Linked DNA regions of Oryza sativa Japonica Group. The protein of the gene in region 2 binds, or shares a complex with, the protein of the main gene of each other region. Links are inferred from orthologs where the notes say so. Each region holds a gene or a part of one and is shown on either strand. Other genes may lie near its edges.

Region 1 (5,633 bases), about 15 Mb from region 2:
AAATATTTTGTGTTATGCGCCAATGAATAAGCTTATCGTCTGCGCAACCAAGCAAACCATTACTCTGCCTTTACTTGCTAAAGATAGAGAAGCGCAGCACTATGACTTTAGGATATTTTTAACAGTCCGATCTATCGCGAACGAAGGAGATCTGTTCCCTCTCATATGAACCGTACTCATCTGCAGTAATGTAGACGATCCAGATGCCTTTGTAGCACATCATAGCCTAATTACTAATTGGAAAATCTAAGAATGTCCGAACGGGTGTTTAGCCTAACGCACGACCATGCACCCCAGTCGCGTCCTTTTAAAACACAAAGGCAATAATACCATCGTTTGGGACTTTAGATTAAAACAAAAGGTAATTACCAAATGCCATCGGCTGCCTGGGTTGCGGCTGCCGATCAGGCATTCACGCCCGCAATTGCCCCAAACATGATTATCTTATCCCATAACAATACCAAACCAAAGCCTTGTTTGGATCCAGATGGCTAATAATTAGCCCTCCAGAATCTTACTATTTAAGAATATTAAACGTAGATTACTGATAAAATTCATTCCATAACTCCTGGGCTAATTTACGAGACAAATCTAATAAGCCTAATTAATCCATGTTTTGCTACAGTAATAATCCGCTAAGTATGGATTAATATATCTCGTTAGATTCGTCTTGCAAATTAGCCCAAGAGTTATGGAATGGATTTTGTCAGTAACCTAGGTTTAATACTCCTAAATAGGATGACAGTTTGCACAATGTTTCATTACTCTCCTAAAAATGTAGTACATAATGTAATGGATGCACATCTTCTGCAGGAGAAATGATCATCGTACGACTAGTTTCCGTACTACACATAGTTTTTGCCGGGGTTTCTCCAAGAGAAATCACTCGTTATTTGTTGCCAATGTCTCTTCATTCACATCAAAAGCTTTTCTTGCCTGCTTGAGCTCTTCATTCATGGAGAGTAGCTCAGTGGCACGGTGCAGTTTCCGCACATCCTAGAAAGAAAGTACAGAGATAAATTTTAATATGACCTAATCAACTGTATTGCAAGCAACTTCACATGTGGAGTTCAGAAATGTACCTTGCGAATGAGGTAAAGAAAATCTTCTGTCAAGAGCTTGCCCCTCTTTGATGCAACGTTCTGGGCCTTGTGGACCTAAGAAAGTGCACATTATACAGTCAACAGTTACGGAATCATAAATAAACATTACATACACATATGGTTTTATCCACATGCAGGTATTTAAAATCAAATAAAAAATTACAGTTAACTAAATTCTTGTGTTTGGTGTGTATTTCTGCTGTTACAGAGTGCATACTAGATTGTAGTCATGTAAAAATTTTGTCCAACAACCTGGGGCAAAGTAAGTCTGCAGGGTAAACAGACCTAATAAATTCATATCGTCGCGTATTCAGATCACGCATGGACAAATTATCTACAAAAATATATTCAGACAAGTGGGGCATGTTTAGATATCTTCACCCCATGTCACAGGTACATTTCATTTACACTATGCACGATTACAAACTCAAGGTTCCATATCATGCAGGAAAGTAGACTATATAGAGACTTTAAAGAAAATGCCTTTCTTAATATAGTTTACAGATAATTTAAGCAGGGAAGAACTGCCAAAAGATGGCAAAGCTCTATGAATCATTAACAAAAAGGGCTCCACAAGAGATGCAAATCCTGGTGATAACTATAACCGTTGCTGAACAGGTATGGAGTGTACCAGCCAGAACAATTTAAATTGGAGTGAATTGCACCTTGGGCTAGGAATATTTACCCAACTTTCTATTTGAACCATATGCTCTAGCCAATGTTTTTACTTTGGATTATGTATGTTTGCCTCTATGTTGCAATTTGGGCTTATATAACTGTCTGTAGAACTCTTTCTCCACCCGCAGTTCTACCAATGCCATCACAATCGCTACACTCTGCCTATGCACAGTAATCCACCAGCTCCAGCTTTTGCTCAGCCTCGAGCTCCACTAGTGTTAGCCCCTGATTTGAGCTCAAGATGCTCCACCATAGCGCTGAGACGGTGTTCCGGCCAGTGGGTGCAAGAGCAGGGGATGGTCAGGTGATTAGCATGGAGAGGTCTGGAAGGTTTGTCACTGTATGAAGCTCTTCAACTTATCTGGTGGTTTATGATTGAGAAGGGAACTGAGGATGGAAAAAGTTAATTAAGGCTTTTATTTGTGGTGGACTAGCTGAGAAAGGCTTGGCAAGATGCTCCACCATAGCGGCCTGCACAAATGAGCTGCCGCAACGAGAGCACATGATGGCGCACAAGGAGAGGAGACGAGAGGACTGACGAGGAAGATGACTATATGGAGGCTGACGTGTGGGACTAATGGTCCAAAGTGCAAAATTTGATACCATAAGCTGGTTCAAAGTGAAAACCTTTGATAATACCTAATCCAATGTGCAACTTAGGAAATAAAATCTAGTCCAAAGTACAGTTCACACTTAAATTAAAGTTCAGATTTGAGACCATAAGAATAAAGTATAACTTTATATTTTCTTGAAATTTCATGTACAGGTACACTAGTTTACTTTCATATGCCGGATCTGAATTATTACATATTAGCATGCAAAAAGTTCGAATCCAATATTTTTATCACAAAACTGGTTTACTGCCGGTAACTAGCTGGTAACTGGTTTTTTGATTCAAAATTTTGGAATCGAACTTTTGTCCAGTAGAGACCTGGCAACTTATTTTCCAGAGGGAGTAGTTCTTTTTTCCCGAAACCAGTGTTCAAACTTCAAGCCCTTGGGCTCTACACAAATATGAACTATAGGTTAAAGTGAAGCCCCTATTAATTCTCAAAACATAAAAGGCTTCATGTTTCCCGACAAACAGAAGCACTGAACCTAATCACTCTTTCCAGAAAACTACCTAATCACTCTTTCCAGAACACTAGAATTGAATTAAATAAGGCAACAAATAAGGATGTCGAAATCCAAATAAACTCCTTTCATCCATACAACCTTCATAAATGTAATTTCAGTAGAAAACAAGAAAGACAAATACAATGAAAGCTTACCAGGTCAGTGACATATTCTACAACAATGTCCTCCACAAGTGCAACAGTTTCTGGAAGCGGCTGCAAAACCAACAGAAAGATGTCATTTACATACAAGATTTTAACTTAAAAGGTAGAACAGCATGTCCATTCTTTCTTAGGCAATCATGTAGTTGTGTTGTAAATCCATGGCCTACTTGCAATTATTGTCGTTGTCGGTGTTAATTACCTCCAATGTTCCACAACACAAAGTACACAAATTGCATCCTATCCCCAAACAATTCCTAGCCTGAAAATTAAGAGATGAAAGGCATAGATCGAGGTCGGGCTTACATTTGGATCATCCCCAAATCCGTACATCATGTGCTGCACTGCAAGAACGGGGAAAAATGCAGCATAAACAACGAATTCGAAGAACAGCAGCAGTACTAAAGTTTAGAAAAAACAGTGCCGTACGGTCTTTCTGGAAGACGCCGCGCTTGCGCTTGAGGGTGGTGGCGGACGCGTCGGCGCCGCCGCCGCCGCCGCCGCCGCCGCCGGAGTGGTGGTGGTGGTGGTGGTGGGAGCTCCCCTGGCCCGACGCCGACGCGGCGGCAGCGGTCGAGGACTTGGACTTGGCCGCCGAGGCCGGGCTAGCGTGGTGGCCGCCAGGGTTCTGCATCCCGGCGGAAGAGCGAAGGACGCGAGGGGTGAGGGAGGGAGACGGACGCCGCCCGCCCCCTCTTCCCGACGGCCGGCGGCGCTCCCCTCCCCTTCCCTTCGCTCCTCGCCGCCGCTTGGATTTAGGGCTTTCGCGTGCACTATGCACAGCCGTGATGGATTTCTGAGGGGCGAACTGGAAGGAAACGAGTGGAGTCAGCCTCACACTAGCGGCGGAGCGTAAGGCCGGGAAGGGGGAGAGGCAATCGCGGCGGAAGCGTACCGGCGGCGAAGGGAAGGAAGCAGCTGGTGAGCGTACCGGCGGCGATTCGAGAATTTTCCGGTCCTTGCGGCTTGTATGGTATGATTTGGAGTTTACACGAGGGAATTGCGGATGAGATTAAGATGAGAATTTAATTTTTAATCCTAATATCTTGTTTGGTAGAGATGATAAAAATTGATAAGGAGTTTAGTTAGAGATTAGGTCATTAATAAAAATGGATGGCTGAGATTTGCTTAGACAAAGTAAAGGAGGAATTCCCTCCCAATTACCTGCCGTATTGAAAAGGAGGGATCTACATCCCACCAAAATTCTTATGTCTCCCAACCAAACAAAACACTTAATAGCCTCATCCCTCTAAACTCCCAATCCCTCCTGAAAACTCTCTCCAACCAAACGGGCCATTTGAGAAATTTTGCAACACACCATATTGTCCAGTTTTGCATTACCGTTTTCGAGTGAAGACCGGTTTGTATCGGTTTGGTAAAAAAAACAATAAGAATAGCAATTTTTAATCAATTTCATACGAAAATTGCTACTCACTCCGTTCCAAAATATAACAACCTGTACTAGATGAGACATATCTTAGTACAATGAATCTGGACAGAGGTACAAGGTTGCTATATTTGAGGGAGTAAAACCACTTAGTTTTCGTAAACCAGTCCCCACGGCATTTTTACGAGAACTGGGTGATTTTCAGTCAGTGATTGCAACATTAGACTTGAGATACAGGAGAGCATAGATAAAGAAGACATGAGCCACTTAAAGATAAAGGAGAAATAACACTTTCAAAAATATTAGAGCACTTAAAAAAGGATAATGAGTTAGTACTTAGAAATGTGAAGAAAATGGTTCATATAGGGAAAGGACGAGGAACAGGCAAATTATTGTACCTATGGCTAGATCTGATAATAGAGAGTAGAGCGTCAACAACTCGACAATAATGATAACCAAATAGCTAAACGTTTCCAATAGAAAGTTAGAAGTCAATGTTGGAGCACTTGCCACCGCCGCTAAAGAGATGGCTAAATCTAAGTGCCATTAAAATTAGATCATGGCGATGTGCTTAAGGACCGATGACGATGAATGAACAAGGATTTGCAATGGGACCTACAACTAGATTAGTGGTTGTGGTGGTAATGTGCACAAGGAGAAAGAGTGGCAAACCTCTGGTCTTAAATGACATGACAACTTGCAACTTGATATCTTAACTCTTTCAATACTCCAAAGTAATATTCTTGGAAGATATGGACCTAATGAGAAACGGGTGGAGATATGAATTCATCTTTTTTCAATGGCAACTTCATTTTTAGAATGTTCCTCAATGCCCTTTTTTTTTAATTCCTAAAACTTGTTGCCTACCTCCCACTTTGTTTTTTTTTTTGTTATCTTTGGTACTAAGGAATTGACTTTATGCCACCGAGTTTAGTACTCCATCCGTCTCAAAATATAACAACTTCTAACATTCAAAATTTATCCCAGAATATAACAACTTCTTCACCTACAATCTCTTCTCAACCAATCACAATCTTCCACCATTCAAATTCTCCACCAACTTTCTCTTGTCAACCAATCACAACTTTCTTTCGTTTAATTCTACATACCTTCTTAATATCTGTGTCCAAACCTAAAACTCTCTGTATTTTGGGAGGGAGGTAGTAGCTTTTGTTCCCTCCAAAAAGA
Region 2 (5,644 bases):
GCAGCGAGGCAGCTGCAGGGGGGGCACTGGGCGGTTGGATTGGGAGGCCGTTGCTGGTGCTGGAGCTGGTCCTACTCCGACGAGCCGTCCCCGTCCAAGAGGAGGACGAGGCGGCGGCGGCGGCGGCAGCGGCATAGCCATTGCCTAGCTTACGACAAGGCAAGGCAAGACGGACAAGGGATAACGATCGAGTGGCTGTGTGGACTGGAGTGGACAAGACAAGCAGGAGGTTAGTAAGGTCTTTTCGCTGCTCTAATTCATCACAACGAAATATAGCAAACCTTGCATCAGCTTGACATTTTTCCCTTCCAATAGTTTGAACCAAGAATGCAGCAGCTGTAACAGGGTCTACAAACAAACACAACTGGTGTGTTTAGTTCACGTTAAAATTGAAAGTTTGATTGAAATTGGAACGATGTGACGAAAATGTTAGAAGTTTATGTATGTAGGAAAGTTTTGATGTGATGGAAAAGTTGGAAGTTTGAAGAAAACATTGAGAACTAAACCAAGGCTGTGTTTAGTTTCTGAAATTAGAGAGAAGTTTAGAGAAAGTTGGTAGTTTGGGAAAAAAAGTTAGGATTTTATGTAAGTAGAAAAGTTTTGGATGGGATGTGATGGAAAGTTAGGAGTTTGGGAGAAGTTTAGTGTGAACACCTAGGCCTGAACCAAAACATGTTCTCAAAATAATTAAAAAACACCAAAACATCAATAGAAAGAAGACATGATCAAGATGTACCAGTGATGTCAAGTAACTAGATGCAGCCAGCCACTTCCAAAAATGAAACGAAGAAAAATAAGAAAGGATGAGATCCCCATAAACAATTGCCTAATTTCAGAATCATCGACAATACCAATACACACAATGCTCAAGGAACACAATGCCGGCGTAAATGCTCCCGCCGAAGCTGCAGCCTGCAGGACATAAGATCCTGCATAGCATCCGATCTTGAAATAGCAGAAAGACACTTCGTTTAAAAAATCGATTAGTTACAACGGCAAGAGTTCTACGTATAAAAATAGCAGAAAGACACATCGTTTGGGTTAAAACGAGGGTCGCATTTAATTGCAGACAAGCATATAATCAGATTCAGCGCATACTCCAAACAGCATAGTACACAGTTCAACTATTCATAAGCCTGAAAATTCACAGCCTACGGCCAATACTTTATACATAGAATTTTCCACGGCTAGTAGTACCGTAGTACTTCAGCTTGTACGTACTGTTTGCTCTGGTTCCCTTGCTGCGACAGAAATCACAGTAACAATTTCACAAAGCTGAAGAAATACATCTCATGTCATTCTCTCTTTCCGCGCATCTGACCGCAGAAAGGACCATCTCAGTGTCGACTGGGATCAACAGAGATGCTTCAATTCTAACGGAAGAGCCTGGGAACAGTCCGCCGTGGGATCTTCCCTTCAAGTTTCAATCTTCTGTAGGCTTCTCTGATGTGGCAAGGCCTTACTGGTCCAGAATCTTTCCTCTCAGTCATAACTATTCTAGCTGCAACAGACACAATCGAATTGTCAAAAATAAAGTGAATAAAGCCATCCCTCCTTTTTCTTCTGATGTCAGAGAACAAGTTTATGGAAAGCAGAAAAGGACATTTGAACACGGACGATTACAAAAGATCAGTCATAAGAGTGATTTGCTTTAAGAGATGAGCATACATCAAAATCATAGGTGCTTTGGTGGTAGTGTTCTATGAGCAACAAAGTAAATAAGATAATTACTCTAGACTTGCCTGTTTCAACAAGCTCACCAACAAACATCTTTGCAATTCCTGATACTACAATTGTTGTTGGTAGAGAAATCTTTTGACTGCCAGTAATGCTCGCCAATAGCTGCATGGAAACAGAATATCAAATCAACTTTAAAAAAACATGGGTGTAGCTATATTTATGGCGTCATATTTTTCATCAAAAAATAGTCGGCATGTATTTACATTGTAAGTCCCTAAATTACATATGTAATTTTAGTGTATTTACAATGTAAGTCTCAAAATTACATATGTAAGTAATAAAATTACATATGTAAATTCGAAATTACATACTAATTACATATGTAAATGGGGTGTAAATGAGGTGTAACTACTGTGTAAGTGGTTAAAAAAAATCGACTGTAGCATATGGCGCCATATTTCTAGCAACTCCGAAAAACATTCCAATAACGCAGTGATCTCATATTTCAACCACTGATGAGGAAATACATTAAAGCACTTGTCCCTCTGACTAGAACGTAATTTCAAAGCATTGTTAACTTCAGGCATTCAACAGCCAAAAGTAACATTTTTACCGAGAAAAAGGTCAAACTTTGGATTGACACTACAAAAAGGCTTTCTTAGCCTGCCTATAAATTGAAGAAAAGAATATTGACCAAGTTTGGTTTTTTATTTAGAGAGTGTACATCACTTACAATCAGTAGAAACGATGACATAGGCAAAAATGTATTTATCTACAACTTGGAGCGAAATCAACTGTCCTGTACATGAAGCTCTATCAACAATTTGGACAAGACATGCATGGTACATTGTACAACTCATGGTATGCATCCACAAAAGAAACATGAACCAAAATAGAACAGGTGTTATTCAACAGAAAATAAGGTAACTGTAAGACTTAAGAAAGCAGAAAATGTTAATGTGATCCACATTTTGTGGAAAGCTTTTATTGCAAAGGGGAACACTGAAGCCAATTCAGATGGAGGCGCCACACGCATCACACGCACATGATATTGCAGTTTATACTTGTACGATATTAAATCAATGGATGTTGGGAATGAGATCATACCTTTTTCATGTTAGATTTCTGGAATCCAGATCTGCGGAATGACTCATACCGGTTCATCTGGTCTTCTGTAAATTGAGACAGTATGGCACTGGAAAAGGAGTACATAGTTTTTCAAACATAGAATTCTTATTTAGATGGGTTTAATATTTCACTATATATATTGGAACATAAATCTGAGAAGTGCATAATGTCAGGATGTTCTGTAAATAAAATCACAAACAATTGAGAACAATCCCCTTTTCCAATTCAGAAATCTCCACTAGTACAAATCTTACTGTCACAAATTAACCAAAGTTGAACGGTGAAGGACACCAAAATACACTGAACTTGATCAAGAACATATTCTCAATAGACAGTCATATGGTTCCTAACTTTAACTGATCTTTATGCCAGTAAACGCTTCACATATAGCTGGAAACTGGGACTACAGTCTTTATGAAGTGAATAATGTCAGGTTGTTCTGTAACTACAATCACGAACAATCCTTACTCCAATTCAGAAATTTCCACTAGTACAAATCTTACTGTCACAAATTAACCAAAGTTAAAAGGGTGAAGGACGCTAAAACACTGAACTCGATCAAAGAACGTATATACTCAACAGACGGTCATATGGTTCCTGAATTTAGTTGATCCTTATGCAGTTAACCCTTCATATATAGCACGCACCAGAAGAAGGCAAAACTAGGTTTAGGATGAGCGCAGCCAAGCACCTACTTCATCTTGGCGAGCTTGTCGGGGTCGCTGGTGCCGGAGGGCAGCTTGTCGAGGTCGACCTCCATGTGGTCCTCCTCGTCATCCTCCTCCTCCTGCTGCTCCTTCTGGACCCGCACCACCTTACCCCTCGCCGCGGCCGCGGCGGCACCACCGGAGCCCGATGGCGCGGCCCTCGAAGGAGGCAGCCGCAGCGGAGGCCCGCGCGACCCGCTGGCGCCGTCGTATCCCTCGGGCGCCCCGGCCGCGTCCTCCTCGTTCGCCGCCGGCGACTCCGGCGGCGACTCCTGCTCCTCCACCGCCGCCTCGAACGGGTCCTTCATGGCCGCGGCTGGAGACGAATCGCAAGAGTCCAGAGTCTTCTGAAAATTTTTGGGCCGGGGTTGACCTACCTGCTCGCCGCCGCCGGGCTTGGTGGGCTGCTTCGCGCGTGGGCCTTTTTCTCGGGCCGGATTTCTGGGCCGATTTCTCCGTGGCGGCCGCGAGAATTTTCACCGGTGAATCAAATCGCTCGTGCCGAACGCGCCACCGCTGAGCAGCTCACGCCTCACGGCGCGTGCAGCAGCGGCGGAAACAAATTCTCTAACTGACATATGAATTTTGCAGTTCGTGAACCTACATATTAACGACGTACTCCCTCCGTCTTATAAAAGACCAACTTAGTACTAGATATAACACATCCTAATACCATAAATTTGAACACACTATACTAGAATATATCACATATAATCCTAGATTCCTTTTTTACGTCAGAGAACAACATCAGAGGAGCATTCTTTCAGCAACGGCAGATGTTACACGCTTATACACAGTTGAAACCGTGATGTGGCCTACCTCCGATGCGGACCTTACAATGGCCGGGCGCAAAGTAAAGAAAAAAGGAACAAAAAAAAACAGGATTACTACTACTACCATCATCAGAACAGCAACAAAAAAGTTTCATCTTTTCGTTCGAGACGTATCACATCGTGCAACAGGTTTTCGGGACCAGAAAACTCCCAAGCCGTGGGCACTGACCCACCGAGAGACCCATCCTGAGAACGATGCATCAAACGTGTGCAATAAAAAGCTTAAGCAGCTACAAAAACAACAACCCCGATCGATCACGCTGGGATTTGGGCATTCAGGAGGAGGATAGGATTTGCTTTGCCCCCCTCTCACAGCTTTTGCATTACCTCCGTATCGCGCCTTGTTTAGTGGAGGCCGTTTTGTTTATTGCCGCTAATCCTAACGCATAGGATTCTCGCTCGCTCACCATTGACCTCCTCTTTGCCCAAGCAAAGCCTCGCCATTAGATTACTTACCCAGATCACACAACAATATTCTTCGCTAGTTCTTGCAGCTCTCTCTCCCCTGAATAAAATTGACGGCACAAAGGTGCTTTCTGGCGCCGATCACTTTGCTCCACGAATATAAAAAACAACATACTATATGCACACACATATATACTATCATACTCCGTATGATACATCATACATGTGAATATAAAACGACGAGAGCCACATATATCGTCGTGTTTTTTTTTCCGCTTTGCTGGTGATGAGAGTGAATATTCGACCGGCTGTTCGTCTGAGGCTCGTCTGACCAAACTCCCGCTATCATTGCCGATTATTATTCCTCGCTTCGGTTGCGCTGATCGCTTTCAGCAACAGGGGGGGAGGGGGGGGGGGTGCGACAAACAAAAAGAGATGCCCAGCTCGTGTATATCTCTCGAAGACTCCCAAAGCTGTGTGTGTGTATATATATATATATATATATATATATATATATATATATATATATATATGGGGCACCATGGTGCCCGGGCACCATGGTATCTAATGCACAAAATCACTCAAAATTTTCAAAATTTTTAAATTGTGAGTATATACCTAGTTATAATAATTTGATTCATACCTATACTTATCAACAAAACAACTCAAATTTAACTTTATTTCATAATCCATGATTACATACCTAACTAATTATATGTATGGATGCTATATACCTAGAATCAAAATATAACAAAAACAAGTTCAAATTCAGTTCAAACTTGCTTTAAACTAGTTAGTAAAGTAGTTAATGTTAATACCTAAGTAATTGAAAAAGTTTCATACTCATTTGAATTGGGTATATACTCAATTTCAACAATGGTGCCCGGACAC
Region 3 (5,624 bases), on a different chromosome or scaffold from region 2:
CTGATGGCAAACATAAATAGTGGTGTTTCTTTGACTTAAGTGAAATTGTAAAGAAAATCTTGCTACTTGACAATAAATCATATAATTGACCTTTTCTTGATAGCATATAACGGTTATGTTTCCTTGTTGCAACTTCTCTTTGTATTATATTATTTGGATGATTTTCAAATGGGATAAGTCCATTTGACAACTCCGAACTCTTCGCTTTGTCTAAAATAAACCCCCAAACTCTAAAACTGAGTATTTGACACCCTCTAACTTTTCAAACCGTCTAATTTTAGCCCCTTAGTGGAAACCAACGCAAATTTTCTTATGTGGTGCCTACATGGAAACTTAGCTATAAAAGAACATAAAAAGGTGGGACCCGTAGGCCACCTCCCCTCTTTCCTCTTACTCTTCTTCTTCCTCTTTCCTCTCCTTCTCCTCTTCGAGATGAATGACGAGGGTAGAAGGCCGTTGATGAGTTCCCGAGCTTAACAAGTAGAGTAGCGAGGCAACCTCCCTGAGCTCAATGAGGCGAGTGCCGACGACTTCCCTGAGCTTGTGTAGCAGGCCCAGCGGCATCGGCTCCTTCATTGAGCTTATCGTGGGATCGAGGTTGTGCTGCTGGCACTTGTCTTCTCTGACCTCGGCAAGTGGGTGTTGGGGGGGGGAGAGCTCTGGGTCTACGATGACAGCAACACTTGGATAGGACGAGTGGCAGCGGATCTCAGAGCTTATGATGACATCGAAGCTTGGGTAGGAGGGGCCGATTACTGCCCATCAACCCTCCTTGGAACTTGCTGGTGATCCCGTCTTCTCCGTGCTCAGCAGTTCCTCTTCTCCAAGCTCGCCGCCAACCCCCCTCTTCTCTGACCTCAGCCAAGGGGCAAGCTCCACATCGAGCTTGCTGCCAACCTTCCTTTTCTTCCGAGCACGACCAAGGGGGTGGGCTCGGCACGAAGCTCTCCGCCGACCCCTTTCTTCTCTATGCTCGCATCTAGCTCGCAGCTCCGTCCATCTCGTCATGGCTGCCTCAAGCTCATAGAGGGAGGGAGTCGAAAGAGAGGGGAAGGTGAAAGAAGACTGTAGGACCTGCTGACGTGGTGTAAACCGCTCAGGGGGTATAAAGTGAATGGTATTAAAAGTTAGAGGGTGTGAAATATCCGGCTTTAGAGTATTGGGTGTATCTCTACTATTATAAAAACTGAAGATGTTTTTGCTAGAATTTTGGTTTGTCATCCATATTTGAGTCGGTTTTTAAGTTCGTTCACTTTTGAAAATACAGAACCGTGTTTGAGTTAGATTTTAAGCTTATTTCCTATTGGAAGTAAGTCGTATAAGAAATCTTTTAAAAAAACTCACATGCTAACTTCAAATTAAATACGGTCTCCTAATTGCAGCTCATGATTTTCTGAAAAAATATCCAATCAAATTTTCACAGTGAATTTTACCGTAGCTAAACCGTATAACAACAATAAAATTAAAATAGCATTTACCCGTTCCAATGCATAGACTTTTTTTTTCTAGTTTTAGACAAAAACGAAGACTTCATAGGTGTAAAATAGACTTATCCCTTTTTTTTCCAAACGGGCCTGAACTCCGCCCATCCTACGCTTATTACCAAAAGGGCCGGAGTACAGCCCACCACTCCCCTCCCTCTTCCCCCCTCCTTCTCGAGCCTCCGGCGACGACGACGACTCCCGCCGCTCTTCCTGGTCCATCGGCGGCGAACTTCCCCGCCGACGTGCCAGATCTCAAACCCCACTAGCTCCTCCGGCGAAGGCGGGGGACCAGAGGATGATGGGGAGCAACAGCGCAGGCGGAGGCGGCGGTGGCGCCATGGTTCCGGGGGGCATGGGGGGAGGAGGGCCCATGGGGGCAGCCGCCGCCGGCGGCGGCGGCGGCGGAGACGGGCGGCACGACGACGAGGCGGTCCTCACCGAGTTCCTCTCCTCCCTCATGGACTACACCCCTACGGTACGGCGCCTGCCGCCCATCTTGCCCTAGCTTCCCCCTCTCTTGGGTTTCGTGTCTGATGCGGTGGTGGTGGTGGTGGTGGTGGTGGTGCGGCAGATTCCCGACGAGCTGGTGGAGCACTACCTTGGCCGCAGCGGCTTCTACTGCCCCGACCTCCGCCTGTAAGCACCCCCATCTATCTCTCCAATAGTTCAATCTCTTCTCTCTTTCAGGAAGACTGCACCGTGCCTTCCAGGATGGGCCAATTGGTAGTTATTAAACTGAAATTCGTCCAGTGCCCGGAAATCACTGAAGAGATTTGGACTGAATTTTGCCTGATTCTTAGTACGTACAACATGGTGACAGTTAGATCTGATTGAGGCTGTTAGGATTGCATTGTAATGCAGCGTGTTGCCATTCTAGTCGAGGGAGAAAATCGCTGTATCCCTTTCAGCTTGGTGATTGTTGGTCGTCATGTGTGACAGCATGGCCTTATGAACCATAATTTTTGTGTTCTCTGCAGAACGAGGCTGGTTGCTGTAGCCACCCAAAAGTTCATTTCGGACATTGCAAGCGACTCTCTTCAGTATGTAACTTTTACTGCCTCATTCGTTTTGTTTTCCAACTTAAACGTATGTGCGATTATTTTGTTCCTTTTTAGTGGTTATCGATTCTTGGAGTCGAATTTTCGTTACCTTCAGATAGTGAATGAGAAATATGATTTCTGATGATGGTCATGAACCATGAGGTTTCTTGCATCATTCATAAATGGAGGTGTATGCAATATGCTTCATTCTTGAGATGTTGAGTAGCCTCATTTCTCCTATGCTGGCAGCTTTTTGAGATAACCATGTTGATTTTAGGCTTGTTTTCTTCATACTGTCAACTTGCATCTTCTTTGTGCTTCCTTTTTTTTGTTTCTATCATCCTTCTCACATTATGACCATGGAATGAAACATCAAACATGGTATCTTATGTCTATATTGTTAAGACAATAGATTGCGAAATATGCATAACATTGATGTGGTAGGGAATCTAATTTCAGTACTGACTGAAACTTTATGTGTAAAGTCAAGCTTCTTATGGTGTTGCTTGTATCATAACTTGTGACAGTTAAAAGGTATCATGCACACTAATTTGTTCATCACATGATTATTGTCCTGAACTAGGCACTGCAAAGCCAGGGTAGCAGCACCTATCAAAGATAACAAGAGCAAGCAACCTAAGGTGGGTTTAATTGCAGTTGGTGTACCATGGTACTACTAGCATGAAATCAGTACTTTTATTTACTGGTTCAGTCATTCTGTTCTTCAGGATAGGCGTCTTGTGTTAACAATGGATGATCTTTCCAAGGCCTTGCAAGAGGTAAACCATTTTCCTGTTGAATTTAAGCTTTCCCTTTTACTGCAGCTCACCAGTTACCACTGTACTTTACGTGATTGAAGTCACAGTTTATTCAGTTTGACGTATAATTGCAATTATTAGTTTTATTAGGACTTGAATCTCTGCATTAATAAATCTACTGTAGAATGGATTTAGTTAACCTTTTTTAGACCAATGGGATTACTTGTTAATGTTTTTTTTAATGAAACAAGTAGCCAAATTGATCAGTTGTATATGCTTCACGATGCTCACGATTAATCACAATTCAGATAGACTAATCAACTCAACAATCAGTCACAGCCTACTTGTATTGGAATATTTTACCAGAAGAACAAATGGGAAACTATTTTGATCCCTTGAGGGGATGTGCCGCTTAAAAATCATCTAAACGGTTATGAAAAATTCTAGAAAAATTTGACAACACTTATACAACATATCTATACAACTTCACAAAATCTTAAGTCCAAATTCAACTCACACATCGAGATATAAAAAAAGACAAATTCAGCGTATAAATAGTACCGCACTGTTAATATCTGAATTTGTCTTTTTGGGTTCTCGATGTGTAGGTCGAATTTGAACTTTATTTTTGGTGGACTATTAGATATAATTGTACTCTACATTGTCAATATTTTTCAGAATTTTTAACAACTATATTTGCATTGATTTTGAAAGAAAAATATATACGAGGGGACATCCCCTCGAGGGATTAGAATCCACTCCCCAGAACACATACATTATAGTACATGAAATAAGCATTTAAGCAGACCTGGGATGAGCTGCTCATATACAGGGATGAGCTGCTCATATACAGGTCTATTTGACAAATGATCTTCTATGCTTTCCCTTCCCAGCAATATTCTTGGCAAATGACTGATTCAGCTATAATCACATCATGGTCAGTACACTTATGTTTACAATTCCATGGTTCAGAATCAATCTACCTTCTACACACGAAACCTCACACAAAAGGGCATCCTTGACATGTCACAATATCACATAACTCTGGACTGTAATGCTCTACAGATGAGCTATCATTATAGAAGCTTTGTGCTTTCATGAAATATGTTTGTTCCACATACTACCAATTTGAGATTTATTTTTGTTTTCTAACATGCTGGCAGCTATCAGTAGATCATCACGTCATTTGATAGAATTAGATTACCATTGTCCAGCGTTTAGTATTGTAACTCCTAATTATCCTAATTAGGCATTTATGTTTGATGCATTTTGAGAAACTGGCACTTTTTACTCCCGTGTCAAATGCCAATATAGATCACAAATGTGTACATCAAATCCTCTATGGTGGTGCAGTAAGCTGGTAACCACTGACTATAGGCTAGTAGGCTCCTTTTTACCAAACATGTATACCAATGCTTAATTTCTGATGTGCACCATACTTATTTCCTTGCAGCACGGTGTGAACTTGAAACATCCTGAGTACTTCGCAGACAGCCCTTCTGCAGGAATGGCTCCTGCAGCAAGAGAAGAGTAGACTCAACTGAACTCAAAGTGAAACCAGGGACTATGTAGGGAGCATGCAAATGAATGACCATGTCGGCATCCTTACCCAACCTTATTACAGCATGCAAATGAATGAACCTGTCAGCATCCTTACCGACCTTATTACAACCTGATGTCTGTTCCTTGATATACTATTGACCATTAGCTTGTAACTAATAGTCTAATACCACTGGTTGCTTCTGTACTTAGTATGAAGTACTATCTGTGCTGATTGATTCCTCTGTGTGAAACCTGTTTTAAATTGCCTGGTGGATCCTTGACAGCTGAAAACTAATTGACTTTGCAACATGCTATAGCTTTTCACTACTTTGTTTCTTGATGTTGCGTTGGCAAACATCATTTCTCAGTGAAAATGCAACATGCTATAGCTTTTCACTACTTTGTTTCTTGATGTTACGTTGGCAAACATCATTTCTCAGTGAAAACCGCAGGGAGGTCTGGGAGTGATCTGGGGCCTGGGAGTGATCTGGAGATCAGGTAGGTCTACCTTATCTTCTCATTATTATATTGCAGGAACACAAGTCAAATCTGCATACAATGTGTATAGCGTCTGAAATAGTGTAAGAATGCATTGCTGAAATACAAAAGGTATATCCTGTCAACTTGTCATCCAAGAGCTATTTAAGTTAACAGTGAACTTCGTGACATTGTCACACAGAAAAACCCAGGTATAAACTAAATAAAGGGCCATGATTACGCTAGATTAGTCGAGTGGGTTATTGGACAATCTAATTATTAAGATTTCATACATATGTTTTCTGACAAATAATTGTATAGTT

The links. Proteins that work in one complex are often made in the same cells at the same time.
Region 1: transcription initiation factor TFIID subunit 11 (region 2) and transcription initiation factor TFIID subunit 13 share a complex: the UniProt entries of both Arabidopsis thaliana proteins name them as parts of the TFIID complex. The link is inferred for Oryza sativa Japonica Group from reciprocal best matches to the Arabidopsis thaliana genes TAF11 and TAF13.
Region 3: transcription initiation factor TFIID subunit 11 (region 2) and transcription initiation factor TFIID subunit 10 share a complex: the UniProt entries of both Arabidopsis thaliana proteins name them as parts of the TFIID complex. The link is inferred for Oryza sativa Japonica Group from reciprocal best matches to the Arabidopsis thaliana genes TAF11 and TAFII15.

What each region holds. Positions count from the first base shown.
Region 1 is NC_089035.1:13,333,318-13,338,950, reverse strand, and holds transcription initiation factor TFIID subunit 13, read right to left. Parts: upstream 3,997-5,633; 5' UTR 3,954-3,996; intron 3,867-3,953; 5' UTR 3,693-3,866; coding exon 3,488-3,692; intron 3,403-3,487; coding exon 3,365-3,402; intron 3,113-3,364; coding exon 3,053-3,112; intron 1,158-3,052; coding exon 1,083-1,157; intron 997-1,082; coding exon 883-996; 3' UTR 325-882; downstream 1-324. UniProt on the Arabidopsis thaliana protein: TAFs are components of the transcription factor IID (TFIID) complex that is essential for mediating regulation of RNA polymerase transcription. May be involved in polycomb repressive complex 2 (PRC2) mediated repression.
Region 2 is NC_089035.1:28,595,307-28,600,950, reverse strand, and holds transcription initiation factor TFIID subunit 11, read right to left. Parts: upstream 3,865-5,644; 5' UTR 3,824-3,864; coding exon 3,504-3,823; intron 2,876-3,503; coding exon 2,788-2,875; intron 1,843-2,787; coding exon 1,743-1,842; intron 1,502-1,742; coding exon 1,374-1,501; 3' UTR 1,036-1,373; downstream 1-1,035. Other genes in the region: uncharacterized protein, read right to left, coding at 1-141. UniProt on the Arabidopsis thaliana protein: TAFs are components of the transcription factor IID (TFIID) complex that is essential for mediating regulation of RNA polymerase transcription.
Region 3 is NC_089043.1:20,159,605-20,165,228, reverse strand, and holds transcription initiation factor TFIID subunit 10, read left to right. Parts: upstream 1-1,628; 5' UTR 1,629-1,779; coding exon 1,780-1,959; intron 1,960-2,055; coding exon 2,056-2,120; intron 2,121-2,461; coding exon 2,462-2,524; intron 2,525-3,107; coding exon 3,108-3,165; intron 3,166-3,252; coding exon 3,253-3,303; intron 3,304-4,735; coding exon 4,736-4,816; 3' UTR 4,817-5,060; downstream 5,061-5,624. UniProt on the Arabidopsis thaliana protein: TAFs are components of the transcription factor IID (TFIID) complex that is essential for mediating regulation of RNA polymerase transcription.